6 linked regions of the Kluyveromyces lactis genome follow. The protein of the gene in region 1 purifies or fractionates together with the protein of each later gene. This does not show direct contact. Links are inferred from orthologs where the notes say so. Each region holds a gene or a part of one and is shown on either strand. Other genes may lie near its edges. The genes, in order: RRP4, MTR3, LRP1, MPP6, ECM16 and RRP43.

Region 1 (3,047 bases):
TGTAAAATCTTTGAAGAATTTTGCTGAATTGTTGAAACCTGGCGGTAGAATCATTCTCTTGGAACACGGAAGAGGTTCATACGATACAATCAACAAAATTCTTGACGATAGAGCTGAGAAACGTTTAAAGACATGGGGTTGTAGATGGAACTTGGATATCGGAGAAATCCTTGACGATTCTGGATTGGATGTCGTCGAAGAAAGAAGAACACATTTCGGTACGACATGGTGTATTGTTGCCAAGCGTAAAGGTGACGGTAAGAAGAAAGAAGAAATTGGCTTCTTTGAAAAGTATCTTGGTGCTAGTGTTAAGAGCAGAATTGAATCTTTCACAAACGATGGAAAGAAGCAAGACTCGCTACAAGCTACCCATAATAAACCAACATCTGAGACATCCAAATGATGGTACTCTTATCGAAAAGATTTTATTATTTGTAAATATTATGCACTTTATTTATAAAATACTACTTCATGTAAATATTAATATTACCGATTACAACCTATGCTGCTCCCCTCATCTTCTCTGAGTTGATGACGTCTTGACCTAAGGACTCCATCGTCTCCGATTCAATTAACTGTCCCAAGTTACCATAAGCCATTGAAGCCTCATATGCGGATATTATTCTTGGCTCAGTGATACCGAGTTCGCAATGTGCTAACGCCTTAATTACGTTTGCATATCTTGTGATTGTTTGCCTAACGCTTACAGTAACAGTATCATTTTTATCCGAATATATTTCCCAAGAACTCTCTTCTTCCAATCTTGTAATGGAAACCGACATTGCATTGTTGGATCCTGGTAAATGGTCAGATTGTCCTGAACCTGTAGTAGTGGTCTTACCGGAAAGATCCATCTTGGAGGATTTCCTTATCCATACGAACCCATTTACACCCAAGATAATGGTGACATTCCCTGGAAGATTATGTGTATGATTTTTAGATCTCACTATTAGGGAACTTGGGACTTGAACAAACGTACCATTCCTTAGTTTCCCATATTTCAACGATCTGGTATGTAATGAAGCTGAACCGTCTTGGAACAACGATTGGACTTCAGCGTTTAGTAGATCACCTTCTTTCAAGAAGTTTCTCATTTGCAACTCATCTGTCTCTGACTTACGTCTCAATACACCACCTGGTAAATTAACAGAACCCAACATCAAAACCGCATACTGTTTGGCTCCAATATCCACTTTCCACCTTCTATTACCAACATCAGTGATTCTACCCACGATGTGGTCACCTGTTTCGGGAATATAACGAGATTTTAATGGTAAAACGGATAGCAATCTATTCACTCTCGATACTGTGCCAACCACAGAACTGTATGTCTTGTTTTCCAAGAAATAAGTACCATGACCCTTCATCCATATAGGATCATCGGTTATTAATTCACCAGGTGTGACAATAGACCCATCCTGATGGTCTATTCCACCATTGGAATCGTGAGCACCGCTCATCTCAATGTCATGTTCTTGCTCTGAACCTGAGCTGGAATCTGATTCATATTCATCCTGTTCTAAACGGCCATTAGACCAAAATTCGTTCCTATTGATAACACTAATAACATCACTCATTGTTCCAAGTAATGATATAACGATGTCAGGGACTGCAGAAGGCGTTCGATGTGCTGACTTCCTCGCTGTACCTTTGTTACTTTTGGTGTTAGTTAACTGAAAATTTTCCAAATTAAATAAGAGAGCGATGAGATGAGATGAGATGAGCGTTGTAAAAGATGTAAAAATGTTGCAGCAAAGATCGACCGTCAGGCAGCGTTTTATTTGGTGAAGTGATAGCACACTATTTTGCTCCATTTTTCAAGGATAGAGGAGGACTAGTTTTATGAGGTTTGGCCTAGTGCTTCGAAGAACAATGAGTAGAGCTATTGAAACTACGTTCAAATATGAACCACCAGTGCATCGTGGCATGAAACAATTAGATAAATCATTATTCGTAAAGAAGCTTCCTGTTGTTGTATTGCTATTGAAGAATCCAAAGAATATTTCTGTCTTCACCAAGAAGTTCAAGGACGATATATTAAGGACACCAAGAATTCCATTCGTTATAAGACTTGGCGAAACACCAAAAGAAGATACTGATAAGAACGATGTCGAGCCAGTACAGAAGAAAAGCAAATCCCTGGCCAATGACAACCATATAACCAAAGGTATCATACTAAAAGACAGTATACAAGATGTTTCGCAGGCGAGAGGGAAGTTGACCTCCAATGCACTAGAATTTCTTGATGAGCAAGAGTATGAGTTGAGAAACCATGAGTATGTGCTAGATTATGACTTCTGGAAAGTGGAAGAGATTCTAAATGCAATTTTACCAGAGGAGTACCTTGCTGAGATTCCTACTGGGTTCACTATTGTGGGACACGTAGCTCATTTGAATTTAAGGAAAGAGTTCAAACCGTTTGGTGAAATAATTGGACAAGTCATCTTGGACAAGAATTCGACGATCAAGACCGTGGTCGATAAAGTGGATTCCATTGCTACCAAATTCAGAACTTTCGAAATGAACGTCCTAGCGGGTGAACCGAACCTGCTAGTGACTCAAAGGGAATCTGATTGTTCATTCACTTTCGATTTCAGTAAAGTGTACTGGAACTCAAGACTACATACAGAACATGCAAGGTTAGTGAGTCTATTCAAACCGGGCCAAATAGTTGGTGATGTGTTTGCTGGGGTGGGGCCATTCTCAGTTCCAGCAGGAAAGAAGAAGGTCATCGTTCTAAGTAACGATTTGAACCCAGAATCTTACAAGTACATGCAGCAAAATATCATCGACAATAAGGTGGGTAACTTCGTTGAACCATTGAACCTCGATGGCCGCGAATTCATCAGAGATAGTCCCAAGCTACTACAACAATTCATCGAAAGGGTACAGGGAGTCATCACGGTGCCAGGAGGTAAGAAGTACAAGGATAAAGTCACGGGAGAAACTAAACGTACTCCTGAAACCAAGATCCCAATCAAAAACCAGTTCTTCGATCACTACGTGATGAACTTACCTGACAGTGCTCTTCAATTCCTTGATGAATT
Region 2 (2,536 bases), on another chromosome or scaffold:
TGCTAACAGTCACGATGTTGTTATGATCTCGAAACCTTTCAAGTTATTATTCCCTCAATTTAAAGAAACTGTAAAAGACGTGGACCAATTAATTGCTACCACGAAGCAGTTCTTGAAACAATGTGGTGTTCTAATCAATGATAATAAATTTGATTTGAATAGGAACAAATATTTCACTGGGAAAACATTACAAAACTGGTATAAGTCTACTATGGACACCGATGTTTCCGTTGTTTACATGAAACGTACCAATTTTGATATCGATATTATCACCAAAAAAGTATGGCAAATCAAGCAAGTGTTAGATAACTTGGAATAAATCGCATTCTATTGTACTTAACTATATCTAAAGTATCAACCCATGTATAAATAGGATATGTTTCTAACGAATCCTCACCCTTAATGGTAAAGCCTTGTATATTTTTATTTTGCTAATACAGAAGAAGCGTTCGTGTCACATTAATTATGAATCACTATGAAATTACGTTAACCATTTCATTTCATTTAAGATATTGAACCAAAGTCTGCTTATTTACCAAATATTTTGCCTTGCACTCTTCTATTAATTTTGATATGTCAGTGACGTTATCGTCATCGCTCCAAATACCGACGATTTCATGTCCATTCCTAATAAACGCAACCACAGAGTTATCTTTTGACCCGGCACTCACTAAATCAATGATTTCAATACCTGCGTCTACAAGAGCCATGGTAATAGAATTAATGCATGTGGGTAGAATATTAACGATATTTGCCTCCTCTGTTGGATTACTATTAGAATGCTGGATCAAATCTATAAAGATATCAATACCAGATTTTGGATACTTCTCAACGTTTATCACCGCATTAAAGACATTTGTTAGGAAAGTACAAATTTCTTTAATTTCTCCGGTATTCAAATGTTCTAACGTAACTTCTTTGAACTGAATCGATACTGATGCCTTAGATTGGAAGGAGCCTCGCAATGGCCTGGGTCCGAAGACAGAACTCATTACGAGAACTTGATCCGAAGTACCATCCATATATTCTAGGTATGAGGAACCATTTGCATTCGTTACTAAATCCGTACTAATGAACACAGATTCCTTACCCGATTTATTACCATTACCATCGTCCCTGTTCTCTACGGTTCTTACAGGAGTAATTGCAGCAAACTGCAATGGCTTCGCTTCTGCTGGCCCTAATATTCTTCTTCTATCTTGCACACTCATTAATAGACCTCTCTTCTGTGGGTATTAGTTTAATATAACGATGGGAAACAAACTCAAGTAAATATATGCTGATATGGCACTAGCCAACGTCAACTTGGAAGCATCTCATCGCATGTATATTCACTTGCAAAACGGTCACTAACAGAATACCACGATTGAAATAGTCGAGATGGAAAAATTCTAACGTCATCACGTGATAATATATATGTGTTTCCTATTTGTTTCCCGTTTGTTTCCGTACCGTACTTGTTTCCAAATTATCGGCAGGCAGCATTGGAACTTTTTTACAAATCAACCGACGATCAGTACGTGTGAAATGATTTCTAAACAGAAGAAGTGGCTGTCGCCCGGTATTGTCAAACCAGTAAATAGTAATAGATCCGTATTTCTGAAAAAGAGTCGTGTACTAGCTTTCGGCTCATCACCTCATACGTCAGAAGGAAACGGAGAGAACTGCTTTGTGAAGTTATATAACCACGTGACTAACTGGTGTTTCTCATATGTTTCTCATATGTTTCCAAACAGCACTTGTTTCCGGTTCATGCCAGGTGACCGTTTTCGCAAACCGGTGGAGGGGCAGACGGAGACCCCCCCCTCACAACCTGGGATTTGGCAACTAAAACACCCCACTCTAACCCGCCTTGCCAGTCGTACATACAAAAGCCAGTATCGTTTCTGGGTGTATCATCAAGACAAAGTCAGAAGCTATTCACTTGGACCAGATCGAAAGCCGAACCCTCGCTAATGCTCTCACCAGAAGCTCTTTCATGCATAGGTTTCAAGAATCAAGGCAAGTCATTCGTTCATTGGTTGAACCACCGAAGAAAAGGATGACCAAAGTACATTTTTGAATTAAACCGACTCTGTTAGTGTAACGTTTCTTCCAGGCATCTGGCAGAAATTATAAAGATTTTTGATATTACACCCCACCAATAGCCCAGGACTCTGATTAAAATCAAACTACTCTGCGAATATTGCTCAAAGTCTAACCATATAACTTGGAATGTCCATTGATTCAAACAAGTTGCAGTAGGACAGAATATCATGAATGACAGTTAACCTACAATCTTTTTTCTTGAACAAAAACTAACAATCTAAGAGAGATTGAATCGTAAAAACAAGAACATCAAGGCAGAAAGCCGTTGAATAAGGCCAACATACATCTTTACATAGGGAACAACGAGTATATTGAACTTAATGTACTATCTCGTACATACTTCAGAAGAGGGAGGAAAAGTATTGACTAAAGTTACGGCAATCCAATCTTAAAAAATTTGATGCATAAGTTTTGGCTCTCTTTGTAAGGAAACCTTTGACATCAGATC
Region 3 (2,363 bases), about 380 kb from region 1:
TGTAGAGCTTTCCTAGTGTCGTTGTTTGTCTTGATACTTTATTGATGTTGATGTTTACTTGCTAGTTAGTTATTTTAATGTTTTTCGAATTTTGTTTCCCCCTCAAAGAGCGACAAATTCGACAGATTTAAGAGAAAACATATACCAAAGAGATAGAATTGCGTTGGGTATTGAACCTCTATGGTTCTGCAACTGGTGCCAACAGATATTTTATAGTGTATCATTACAGCTTTATCTTTTACTATACATATTATATGTGTATATGTGTATAATTGGTCAAAAACGTTCGCATGACTCAAATAAAAGATGGATCATATATGTGATGTGTCGAATCTCAAACGAAAACGAAGATTACATCCACCTATTGGCGTTGCATCTCAGTGAGACGTTTAAGATTGGCCAAGTTCTCCAGGATCTGGCCATCTGAGATCATAATTGGGGTTTGCGTATCGTTGCGGAAGTAATCTTCTGCACTTGTATGTGCTAAAGGTGGACAGAGTCTGAATGAACCAGACCGATCCATTTGATGTTGGAAGGGGGAATTTTCCGAATAGAACGCAGTTCTATCGAGTTTGACTTTGAGATGGTTCTGCTGTTCGTCGTTCCCGTTCTTTTGGTATAGGTTCTGTAGAAGCGGTTGCGGTGGCTGTATTCCAGCCTGAAGCGATGATGACTCGTGGTTCAATAGGAAGGATACGTTCATCTGTTTAGAGTTCCGCTGCAAAAGCTGATCCATTTCTGTGACGACTTTCTGCAAATTTGATGCCAAGGTTGACCATGATTCTGCATCGCTTGGCGAGAGCGAGTGTGCTTGCTCACGATATTTCTCACGAACCTGTCGTAGCTGTGTCTCTATATTCGATAAGTCATCAGCGACCATTATCTATGCTGACGAGAAACAAACTAAAGTACTTCTTGAGCTAGGCCAGTGTTGAAATTAAGTATACTGGCGGAGGGTGGATGTTACTTCAACAGTCCAAATAGGACTACTCGCCCTGTATTGAGTACAGGTTCTCCATATATGTGGTATGAATGTGTGTAATGTCTTGCGTTTTTTTTTTTTTTTTTGGCAGGCAAATATGGAATTTTCGCTGGATAAAGAAATAGAAATATTACTGAAGTACTTCTACGTGCGAAACGCACGCAGATTATTATGCGTTTTGTTCCATTGCGAAAAATTCGCAGTATTATGTTATTGATCGAAAATTTTGATTCAGTGAAGAATACTTCATCTCGGTATTATACAGCTTCATCTCATCTCATCTCATCTCATCTCATCGCTGCCTCAGTCGACAACGACAAGAACACGGACCACATACAACTACCAGCATGGAAGATACTAAGAAAATTAAACCATACATCTCGTATCTCAATAAACAGGTGGAACAACTCAGTGGTGAGATTAACAAACTAACGAGCAAGTCATTGGACGAACAACTGTTGCTTCTGCAAGATGAAAAGAAGAAACTTGATCTTTCAAACAAATACGCATATGTATTGAGTTCACTATGCTTTTCATACATGAAAGTCCTCAATATCAAAGACCTGTCACCTATCATGGCCGAATTGGCAAGGTGTAAGTCATATATGGATAAATCTAAACAGTTAGAAGCTAAGAAAGAATCTGAAGAGAAGGATGAGGTGGAGCAAGAAGAACAAGCAAAAAGAGTTCTACAATCTGCGTTGGGAGGTGGCAAAATGGAACCTGCTATCAGTAAAGTCAACTTTCAGGGGAAACATACTAAGTTTTCGACAGAGGCTTCCACCACCAGCACTGATAAGGATGGACTGGCAAATCGAGTAGTAGACGGAACAAAGAAATCAAAACAGCAAAAACAATCTGGTAAAGTATCGAAGAAATAATTCATCTGAAATATGTCCTGGCATGTTCATCCATGTATTCCTGGGTCTTATTCTGGCATTCTATATTAATAATTAGCATCGCATTTTTCACTGACATAACAAGTTGTATAGTATAAATACACTAAAATTGGGAAACAAAAAGAAGGAAATTCCAGTTGGCAAACGTGAACAAGAATTAACCAAAGATACAGGTTTCAAGTGGCAACAGAGAGTTACAGAGACCAGTAAAAGGATTAAAAGAAGTACATTTCAATAGCCATGATATCTGACGAGGATATTTCAACTTTCCAAGGTGTTTGCGGTACAGATAACGATGAATTGTCAAGACATTTCCTTGAGATGGCCGGAGGCAATTTGGAAACAGCCATCTCGTTATTCTTTGAACATGGTGGTGAGAGACAGTTGAACAGCAATTCTGGTAATAATAATGCCGGTGCTGGTGCTGGTGCTAATACAGGGGGTTCTGGCGGTCTGAGTGGCGACGTAGAGTTTGCTGAAGA
Region 4 (2,324 bases), on another chromosome or scaffold:
GACAGAAAGAGCACGTTTATTGCGTTTGCTACTAAAGCCAATTCTGAAGAAGAGGCATTCGATAAGCTTGAGCTGTTAAGAACCGATAATAAAATTGCTCGTGCTAATCATTTAATGGTTGCATGGAGAATCAAGGGAGAGAACGGTGTCAGTTTCCAAGACTGCGATGACGATGGAGAAACAGCTGCAGGAGGACGAATGCTACATTTGATCACAGTGATGGATGCATGGAATGTAATTGTTGCCGTTGGAAGATGGTTCGGAGGAGTTCATATTGGTCCAGATAGATTCAAGCATATAAATTCAACAACTAGAGAAGTAATATTGAAGGGGCATTTCACAGAAGCTGCTACCTCTACTTCAAGTAAGAAGAGGTCAAAATAGTTCACATTTATAGAATGGAGTATTGTTACCGGAATTTGATCTACTCTATTTATTATATAAGTCGGCGAAAATAATATACAAATACTAGTGTCTCATTTAGCATCCTGCTATGAAGTTTAATTTCTATTCCTTTTTGACTTCTTCTTATTCCTCTCAGTATTACCATTACCATTGGATTTCTTCTGTTTCTTAGTCTGTGTTTCGGCTTCCCATAGCTTTTCTAAATCTGTCGTCGACACATCGTCCTCGTCCTTTTCTTCAAAACTTCTTTTCTTATCATTAGAACTCCCATCTGAACCGGGCGTAGCTCGTCCGAGTTTATTTCCGAATATTCTTCTTCCTGCATTTACACTAGTCCGTAGTGTGCTTGTGCTGAGATCGTTTGTATCGATCTTCGAATCCTCATCATTCAGTGACTTGATAGCAGAGAAACCTACGTTCTGTACCACTTTTGATTTATTAGCAAGTTTTGTCAAGAGTTTTACATTGTCACCTATCCTCCATTCTGACGAGTCCACCAATTTCTTTATTGTCTCCTCGGTCTGTTTAACTTTGTCTGCTTGTTCCGCATGCTTCATGAACTTCATGTTCATCACTCTATTGGATAACTTGCCTGTGACTTCATGCCGTTTCTGTCCACTCATTGTTACCTTTTCGTCTTAGTGCCCCTATTACCGCTTTCAAATAGGCTTCACTATATCATTGACACTGGAATACATTTTTAATGTATCATTAAAGTCCTAATACAGCTCATCTCATCAATCTTCTGCTGAATGGTTTGATCTTACATATTAGAATTTCATGAAAAGTTTGTTTACGATTGTCCGGAAAATGAAAGATAGCAAGAAGATAGAAATATCCATGGTTAAACCCCGTCGGACGTATTTCAGAATGCAAGGATCTGCACTATAAAAGGAACATTGTACAAAAATAAATGAAATAAAAAGGTCATTGGTAAAAGTATGAAAACAGCTATAATGAAGTACTCATACTAAGTTTCAAGTGCTGACATAAACGACAATCCACCCAAAAACCGACATGTTTCTGTTCTCTCTTTCTTTACTTCCGTGCTAAAGCTGTATATGTTTTCCTTTCTTTTTCATTCAGCATACAGGATTTCGAAAAATTTAAGAGAAAAAATTGAGCGATGAGATGAGATGAGATGAGATGAGTTCAAGCAGGAAGTGCAGACGGATTATCAGTCACTTGTAAGGACTTTGCATTATAATCAGTTGTTCAATTTCAATTAGTTGGAAGGAATCAGGTCAGACGAGCTTTATAAGGGTTTAGTTACGGATGAAGTCTGATTTTAAGTTTTCCAATCTTTTGGGAACTGTTTATAGGCAAGGTAACGTCTTGTTCTCTCAAGATGGTTCCAAGTTACTTTCACCGGTAGGTAATAGGGTGTCGGTATTTGATTTGATCAACAATACTGCTTTTACCTTCGAATATGAACATAGGAAGAACGTTGCCGTTGTAGATATCAACAAGCAAGGTACGTTACTTCTTTCCATTGATGTCGATGGTCGTGGTATCTTGGCGAACTTTAAGACAAGAAACGTATTGCATCATTTCAACTTCAAAGAAAAGGTTTATGACTTGAAGTTTTCACCTGATGGCAAGTTATTTGCGCTGGCTTGTGGGAGATTCTTACAAATATGGAGGACACCCGAGACCACTGAGGATAGACAGTTTGCACCTTTTGTTCGTTATAGAATCCATGCCGGCCACTTTTCTGATATAACTTCCTTGACATGGTCAAAAGATTCAAGATTTATTATATCCACATCCAAGGACCTAACGGCAAGGATATGGTCAGTTAACTCGGAGGAGAAAAATCTTGCATCGACGACTTTTGCAGGACATAGAGATAACGTTATCGGAGCATATTTCAGCGATGACCAGGAAAAGATATACACGGTCAGTAAAGATGGTGCCTT
Region 5 (3,960 bases), on another chromosome or scaffold:
CGGAAAGATCCTTCAAAGTGACCTGGGCCACATCTTTCAAATTACCTTCAGTCAACTGCCAAACTATTGAGAAAGACCAAAATTTAAGATAGCCAATTAAACCGAAAGGAGATAGAGGAACTTCAGGACCCGAAATCAGACCCTGACATCTTGATAAAGTGTAGGAAAACTCAATCAAGAGAGTACCCAATCTTCTTCTTTGATAGGGCGGAAAGACAAGAATACATGCAAGGTTATTTTGGTGGTAGGAATATAAGTCTTTTGAAAAAAATGCCATCGGTACTGTAGAATTGTTCTCATACACAATATAGAATTCGAAATGCTTAACTTTGAAGTAGACAGACTTGTTATCAAGAAATAGCTTAGTAAATAGACATAAGCATTGGCAGAAAACTTCATGCTTAGAACCTTTTACCCTTCGTATAGTGTATTCGGGGCTTCTGTATTTTATTCTACCGGGTGGCTTATTCTTATATCGGCAAAAGCACTCATGTGCGATTAACTCTGCTTCATCATCAGTGTACTTGAAACAATATTCACATACGTATAGGGTATCAATCCAATACTGATCTTCAAACTTCTTTTCAGTAGGGCTTTGTTTTGCGGTGTGCTCATTGTTCGATTCCTTGAAGCCCAAGGTCCTCTTATTTCTTCCAAAATAAACATTACTCCCGTACCAAGTTGCAAATCTTTTATTCAAGCCAAATTGGACGTGCCTAATATTAGGCTTGTCAAGAATACCATATATTTCTTCATCCTCTGTTGAGCTGTTGTGCTTATCAGGTTTGGGAACCATTCATTAATGATTTGAAAAGAGGCAAAAAATGCGATTTATCACGTTTCCCAAATTTAATGAGTACTTGAAAACCCAATTAACGGTGGAATCAACTGCTCTTTGAACTTAAATGTACAAAAGATTGCCTATATCTTTGAATTATCAAAACGTTGAAAGCGACTTTCTTTTTTTTTTTTTCATCTTCCTTTATGGCAGAAAAAGCTTTAAAGCTCATCGCATCTCATCGCATCCAAGCTCACCTGCATCTATATATCAAAATCTCGTTGATAACAGGCTGGTAGTCTGAATGTTATAGGCCTCTGTGACATTAACAGTCAAGAGAAGTACCTCGCACGTTAAACGGTCAAAAAATTGAACAACAAACATGGGTACCTATAGGAAGCGCTGGAATGAGAAAGCACGCGCGGGTCAGATGTCTAAGTTGAAGGAGTTGAAGAGAGTAAGGAATAGGCAGTTCACCCGTGCACTTGAAAATTCTTCCGATGCTGATTCTGAAGAAGGTAATTCATCTGAAGATGAACATCATGAATCACCCGATCATCAGGAAGATACGAACGCTGCTGTATTGAAACCCATGACGGAGGAAGAGAAACAAGAGAAAAAGCGTAAATTGGAAGAGCTATTCACACCTAAGGAAACGAAGGTCTCTAGGACGAAGAAAAAAAGGTTAGAGAAGTTCATCGAGCATCAATTGAAAAGAGAGGAGAAAAAAGTTTTGATAGAAAAACTTCAGGACTATAAAATTGATACTAAGCTTTTGACAAGTTCTAAGATTTTGGGACAAGGAAGGCAAACTAAGAGGCAAGGGATTGAAGAAGCCCTCAAATTAGAAAGAAATGGACGTGGTGATGAAACTACCAGGGAAATTCTTTACGATGAAACTGAGGTAAGGGATTGGTATCAAGATCATCCAGAAACTAGGCCCAGTCAGGAAAGCACAGCTGAAAATTGCAATTCGGATAGTGATGAAACGGACCATACCAGTTCAGATCACCCTATTTCGGCAAATACTGGGGGATTTATTGATAATAGACCCAGTAAATTTGGTGGGTCAGGTTTTGGTTTTGGATTCGGTAATGCAAAGGTGGTGAATAAAAGGGCCTCGAAGAAAAGGTATAACTGGAAGCAAAAGGTAGAGCAAGAAGAACGTAGAAGGCGTAAACTGGATGATGATCAGGATTTTGAATCTGACGAAAGTGAATCAGAAGAACATTCATCCACTGCAGAAAGTGAACCTGATGAGAGTGAATCTAATAGTAATGCTGATAGTCACAGCGATGATGAGTCGAGTGAGTCTGACGGCGAGGAAAGATCGGATTCAGAAATAGCGCAGTGCAGAAACGTAAGTTCTTCAGTTGCCCAAGAATTTAAAGAGTGGGCAAATCAGGAAATTAAAAAGCTTGAAGGTAGAGATGTAGAAATGGTTATGCCTTCCTCCAACATCAAGGTCGATAGGACCGAGAGACCTGAAGACTTTGAAGATGGACTCAAAGCAGATGAATTTAATGTGAACGAAAATTCAACACGTAAGGCTTTTTATGTCAAGGTACGGAGATCTGATGCTGTTCAAGCTGTGAGAAGCGCACTACCTGTTTTCGCCGAGGAACATAGAATTATGGAAGCTATCCATCATAATGACGTTGTAATCATTTGTGGTGAAACTGGTTCAGGTAAAACGACACAGGTACCGCAGTTTCTTTACGAGGCAGGATATGGTAATTCGTCCTCAACTGACACGCCTGGGATGATTGGAATAACACAACCTAGAAGAGTGGCCGCTGTCTCTATGGCTGGACGTGTTACTAATGAGATGGGTGATCATGGCGAATATGTAGGATACCAAATTCGGTTCGATTCTTCTACCAAGGATAAAACAAGAATGAAATTTATGACTGATGGTGTTTTGCTAAGAGAGATGATGAACGATTTTAGACTTTCTAAATACTCTTCTATCATTATCGATGAAGCTCACGAGAGGAACATCAATACAGATATTTTGATTGGTATGTTAAGTCGTTGTGTCAGCTTACGTGCTAAGGAGCATGCAACTGATCCGGCTAAGTACAAAAAACTTAAACTAATTATCATGTCTGCCACCTTGAGAGTATCAGATTTTAGTGAAAACCCTACTTTATTCCCTGTTTCTCCACCTGTCTTAAAGGTCGACGCCAGGCAGTATCCAGTGGCTGTACATTTCAATCGTAGAACAGCTTATAACTATGCTGAAGAGGCTTTCAGGAAGACGTGTAAAATACATCAAAGGTTGCCTCCTGGTGCTATCTTGGTTTTTATGACAGGACAGCAAGAGATCACGCACATGGTAAAAAGGTTAAGAAAAGAGTTTCCTTTCCCCAAGAAACATCAAACTCTCATTCAAAATGACCACATACCTACAGTGAAAATAGATGCCAAAACTGCAGATGTAGAAGCTGAAGATATCGACTTCAGTGTCAGAGTTAGAGAGGAACAAGAATTTGACGATTGTTTACTCTCTGATGAGGAAGATATTGAGGACAAAGAAGAGGACGAAGAAGAAGGTTTTGAAGAAACACTTGAAGAAGGTCAGACGGATAGAGATCCACTATATGTTCTTCCTCTTTACTCGCTATTGCCCACCAAAGAGCAAATGAAGGTCTTCCTTGATCCCCCACCAAACTCCAGATTATGTGTTGTTGCTACTAATGTGGCAGAAACATCATTGACCATACCGGGAGTAAGATACGTCGTTGATTGTGGTAGATCAAAGGAAAGAAAGTTTGATGAAAATAATGGTGTTCAGAGTTTCGAAATTGACTGGATTAGCAAAGCTTCTGCTGGCCAAAGAAGTGGTAGAGCAGGGCGTACAGGGCCTGGTCATTGTTATCGTTTATACTCCTCTGCAGTTTTCGAAAGAGATTTTGAGCAGTTTTCTAAGCCTGAAATTTTAAGAATGCCTGTGGAGAGTATAGTTTTGCAAATGAAGAGCATGGCTGTTCATAATATTGTGAATTTTCCATTCCCTACCCCACCCGAAAGACCAGCTTTGATGAAGTCAATAAAGCTCTTACAACACCTAGGTGCACTCGACAGTAATGAAAGAATCACTGATGATGGTAAAGCAATGAGTTTGTTTCCGCTAAGTCCAAGATTTTCTAAAATGCTGCTTGTTGGTAATGAAAGCGACT
Region 6 (3,017 bases), on another chromosome or scaffold:
CAACCGCTATTGAAGGAACGTGACCTCCTTTAACGTTTTGCTTAGAGGTAAAAACTGCACCGAATTCTCCCAAAGTTATAATAACAACCGAGGAATTTGATGTGTTTATCAAATTACTCTGATAATACTGCGCTAATTCTAGGTATCCCAGCTTGAAGCTCTCCGCAATTCTCGATTTGTAGTTCTCAACCACGGCTTCACCATACAGTGATTCGCCAATTTGAATGGCTTCAATTTCATTAACAATTAAAATATCAACAGATTTCCAGTCTTCTACTTTTAATGCATGAAATGGAGAAGGGTTGAATACTACCTCAAAGTTTGGTCTATTTGCCTTTATCCAATTCATGATGGAAGGAGGATCAGGAATTTCATGTTGAAACACAATGAATTCTTTGGCGTTATTTTGAAACATCACTTCAAGCTGCTTATCAGAATACATAGTCTTACTGTTCGCTCCTGCTGTAATCATGATTCTATTTTGTCCCTTAGCTTTTTCCACTATAATTACTGCAACACCAGTTGACTCGTCATCAACCTCTTCAACATATTCTGTATTGATGTTATGATACTGCAATTTTGATAGTAGTTGATTTCCAAATGAATCAGAACCTACGTGGCCAACCATCCTAATGTTGCTTGTCTGGTCATCAGATGGTTTGGTTAATTTCGCGAGCGAAATGCATTGATTCAACCCCTTACCACCAGCATGTGTTTCAAACGAATCCGCAACGAAGGTCTCTCCTGCTACCGGAACACGCTCCGTATACGTGACCAAATCAAAATTTAACGATCCCACGACAACTATGCCCATACTGTTGTCTTGTTTACTTTGGGGTCCAAGCTCTTTATGTCGCAGTTAATGCATTGTATATACTGTCAAATCCTGCATATAATTCTTATCATTTCGTTTCAGATGTCCATAAATAAACCCAAAGCAGAGAACAAAACGGTACCTTTTTACATTTAAGCTAATTAAAAGTAACGAAGATGTAACGTACCACTTGACATCTATCCCACCTTTCGCTGGATTAGCTGTTATTTAGGGTATATCACATCAATATATCGGTCACGTGAGAATTATATTCTTTTAAGCAGCCTAGGGAGTCCGCAGATCTATTCAGAACCTTGTCACTTAAGAATTGAAAGGCATAACCAGTATACTGTATCGATTCCTGATAGTGTTCGACCCTCTCAGGGGTTTATACCAGTGTTTTCCATCCATTATTACTGCATAAATCTTTCAAACCTTCATAACGTCAAGGATGTATAAAAAAGTGAAAAACTTCAACTAGGTCTTTTACAAACGATTATAGCTCATCGCATGGGCTTAAGGATGGAGGAACTCCGCCAAGGAGTTGCTACAACCGATCAAGTATGACTGAAAGTATTGATATACATCCAATAGTTTTCCCACCCGAAGTTTTAGCTCGAATTTCGCCTGACATCTCCTTACAAAGACATTTGTCTTTGGAAACTCGACCATGTTCAAGAGGATTCGAAGAATTCAGAGATGTTGCCATTAACGATGGTAATATATCTAGGTACAGTACGAACTGTCAAAATGCAACTACAAATAACATTATTGGTTCCAGTCTTCTACGCTCTGGCAAGACCTTTGTGATAACTTCGATAACGGGTGGCATCATTGAAGAGACATTACCGGCGAACAATACTGAAGATGTTGGAGAAGAAGAATTGATGAAGCTTTCAGAAGATACTGATAGGCTCTGCGAAAATTCAACTATTTATCCCGTAGTAGAGGTACAACGTGGACGTGTTGGTGGTCCTACCGATGAAGAGATGATCACTTCAGAAAAGCTATACAAGACACTCTTACATTCTGGAATTCTTAAGAAAACAGCTTTGGCTGTATCGTGCGGTATTCGCAGGACTGAAGAAGATGGAAGTGTCACCACAATATACAGTGACGAGCTACTCGATGAGGAGAAAAAAATTAATGAAGCAAACAATAGGAAATGGTCCTATGTGCTTTATGCCAAAATACAAGTTTTCAGCCGTAACGGTCCAATTTATGATCTCTGTTGGAATTCTTTGATTAGTGCGCTAAAAACAGTGCAACTACCTAGAGCTTTCCTAGACGAACGTGCTGCTGATTTGAAAATTGCTATAAGAACCCGAGGTCGTAGTATGACAATTCGTGAAACATACGACATCTTATGCGACCCACACAAATCTTTACCTTTAAAATTGAACGAAGGAGAATTATGCTATGGTTCAAACTACGGAATCATTGACATCGAACCTTTAGCACAATTGGCCAAAAATGATGACGAAATGGACGTGGATAAACCAACTTCAGTATTATTAGCGGATATAGAAACAGAGGCCGAGGAATCATCAATTCTATCTACATTGTCCTTGACAACGAACAAAAATGGTCAATTCAAGGCTGCAACAATCATCGGAGGTGACTCTAAGATCACACCTGAAATGATAAAAAGGTGCATATTTTTATCTAAACAAAGATCAAAAGATATTGAATCCAAAGTTTAGTTGTGTAAGAAGCATATCGATATCTTTATAATACACGACATATTCAAACTTTCTTCAAAACAAACGTCAGAGTAATCTTGAACGTCAATCAATAGTTACTTACAAAAGAGGCTAAATTTCTAGTTATCTACGTGAGTTCTCTTTCGTACCAAATCATGACAGGAAACCTATTGAAGGTAAAACATCCATAAGAAAATGTAACATAAATAAACAAGGATGAAGAGAAGAGAATAAAAAATGATAGCGTGTGTTGAATATTACAACGTTTACATGCAAAAACATGTATTTATGCCTTCTTAGATCTAGTATTTCTCTTTCTTGGAGCTGGAGAAGGAGAGGGAGTACTCACATTCTTCAAATCGACATTCACATATTCGTTAACCTTAGCTGCAACACCACCACGAACTCTTTTAACAACCTTAGACTTCTTTGTGCCTTGACGTCTGTACACTTCAATGTAAAATGCAATGAATAAAAATAAGTAAGAAGAGATGATGGCG

Evidence for each region.
Region 2: the proteins of RRP4 (region 1) and MTR3 purify together in Saccharomyces cerevisiae (affinity purification with mass spectrometry; 3 studies listed by BioGRID). This does not show direct contact. The link is inferred for Kluyveromyces lactis from reciprocal best matches to the Saccharomyces cerevisiae genes RRP4 and MTR3.
Region 3: the proteins of RRP4 (region 1) and LRP1 purify together in Saccharomyces cerevisiae (affinity purification with mass spectrometry; 6 studies listed by BioGRID, with this or other methods). This does not show direct contact. The link is inferred for Kluyveromyces lactis from reciprocal best matches to the Saccharomyces cerevisiae genes RRP4 and LRP1.
Region 4: the proteins of RRP4 (region 1) and MPP6 purify together in Saccharomyces cerevisiae (affinity purification with mass spectrometry; 4 studies listed by BioGRID, with this or other methods). This does not show direct contact. The link is inferred for Kluyveromyces lactis from reciprocal best matches to the Saccharomyces cerevisiae genes RRP4 and MPP6.
Region 5: the proteins of RRP4 (region 1) and ECM16 purify together in Saccharomyces cerevisiae (affinity purification with mass spectrometry; 3 studies listed by BioGRID). This does not show direct contact. The link is inferred for Kluyveromyces lactis from reciprocal best matches to the Saccharomyces cerevisiae genes RRP4 and ECM16.
Region 6: the proteins of RRP4 (region 1) and RRP43 purify together in Saccharomyces cerevisiae (affinity purification with mass spectrometry; 6 studies listed by BioGRID, with this or other methods). This does not show direct contact. The link is inferred for Kluyveromyces lactis from reciprocal best matches to the Saccharomyces cerevisiae genes RRP4 and RRP43.

The regions. Positions count from the first base shown.
Region 1 is NC_006041.1:1,129,885-1,132,931, forward strand, and holds RRP4 (exosome non-catalytic core subunit RRP4), read right to left. Parts: upstream 1,815-3,047; coding exon 501-1,814; downstream 1-500. Other genes in the region: OMS1 (putative RNA methyltransferase), read left to right, coding at 1-403; TRM5 (tRNA (guanine) methyltransferase), read left to right, coding at 1,843-3,047. UniProt on the Saccharomyces cerevisiae protein: Non-catalytic component of the RNA exosome complex which has 3'->5' exoribonuclease activity and participates in a multitude of cellular RNA processing and degradation events.
Region 2 is NC_006042.1:1,688,687-1,691,222, forward strand, and holds MTR3 (exosome non-catalytic core subunit MTR3), read right to left. Parts: upstream 1,212-2,536; coding exon 501-1,211; downstream 1-500. Other genes in the region: CHO2 (phosphatidylethanolamine N-methyltransferase), read left to right, coding at 1-319.
Region 3 is NC_006041.1:1,510,274-1,512,636, forward strand, and holds LRP1 (Lrp1p), read left to right. Parts: upstream 1-1,329; coding exon 1,330-1,863; downstream 1,864-2,363. Other genes in the region: KLLA0_E16985g (uncharacterized protein), read right to left, coding at 362-880; DNA protein crosslink repair co-factor UBX5, read left to right, coding at 2,122-2,363. UniProt on the Saccharomyces cerevisiae protein: Required for exosome-dependent processing of pre-rRNA and small nucleolar RNA (snRNA) precursors. Involved in processing of 35S pre-rRNA at the A0, A1 and A2 sites. Required for activity of RRP6 in 7S pre-rRNA processing.
Region 4 is NC_006039.1:782,856-785,179, forward strand, and holds MPP6 (Mpp6p), read right to left. Parts: upstream 1,029-2,324; coding exon 501-1,028; downstream 1-500. Other genes in the region: YIH1 (Yih1p), read left to right, coding at 1-384; snoRNA-binding rRNA-processing protein PWP2, read left to right, coding at 1,681-2,324. UniProt on the Saccharomyces cerevisiae protein: RNA-binding protein that associates with the RNA exosome complex. Involved in surveillance of pre-rRNAs and pre-mRNAs, and the degradation of cryptic non-coding RNAs (ncRNA) derived from intergenic regions and the ribosomal DNA spacer heterochromatin.
Region 5 is NC_006042.1:1,597,097-1,601,056, reverse strand, and holds the start of ECM16 (ATP-dependent RNA helicase ECM16), read left to right. Parts: upstream 1-1,160; coding exon 1,161-3,960. Other genes in the region: SAS2 (histone acetyltransferase), read right to left, coding at 1-796. UniProt on the Saccharomyces cerevisiae protein: Probable ATP-binding RNA helicase. Required for 18S rRNA synthesis. May play a role in restructuring of the pre-rRNA.
Region 6 is NC_006039.1:318,921-321,937, forward strand, and holds RRP43 (exosome non-catalytic core subunit RRP43), read left to right. Parts: upstream 1-1,377; coding exon 1,378-2,517; downstream 2,518-3,017. Other genes in the region: RBK1 (putative ribokinase), read right to left, coding at 1-814; KLLA0_C03542g (elongation of very long chain fatty acids protein), read right to left, coding at 2,804-3,017.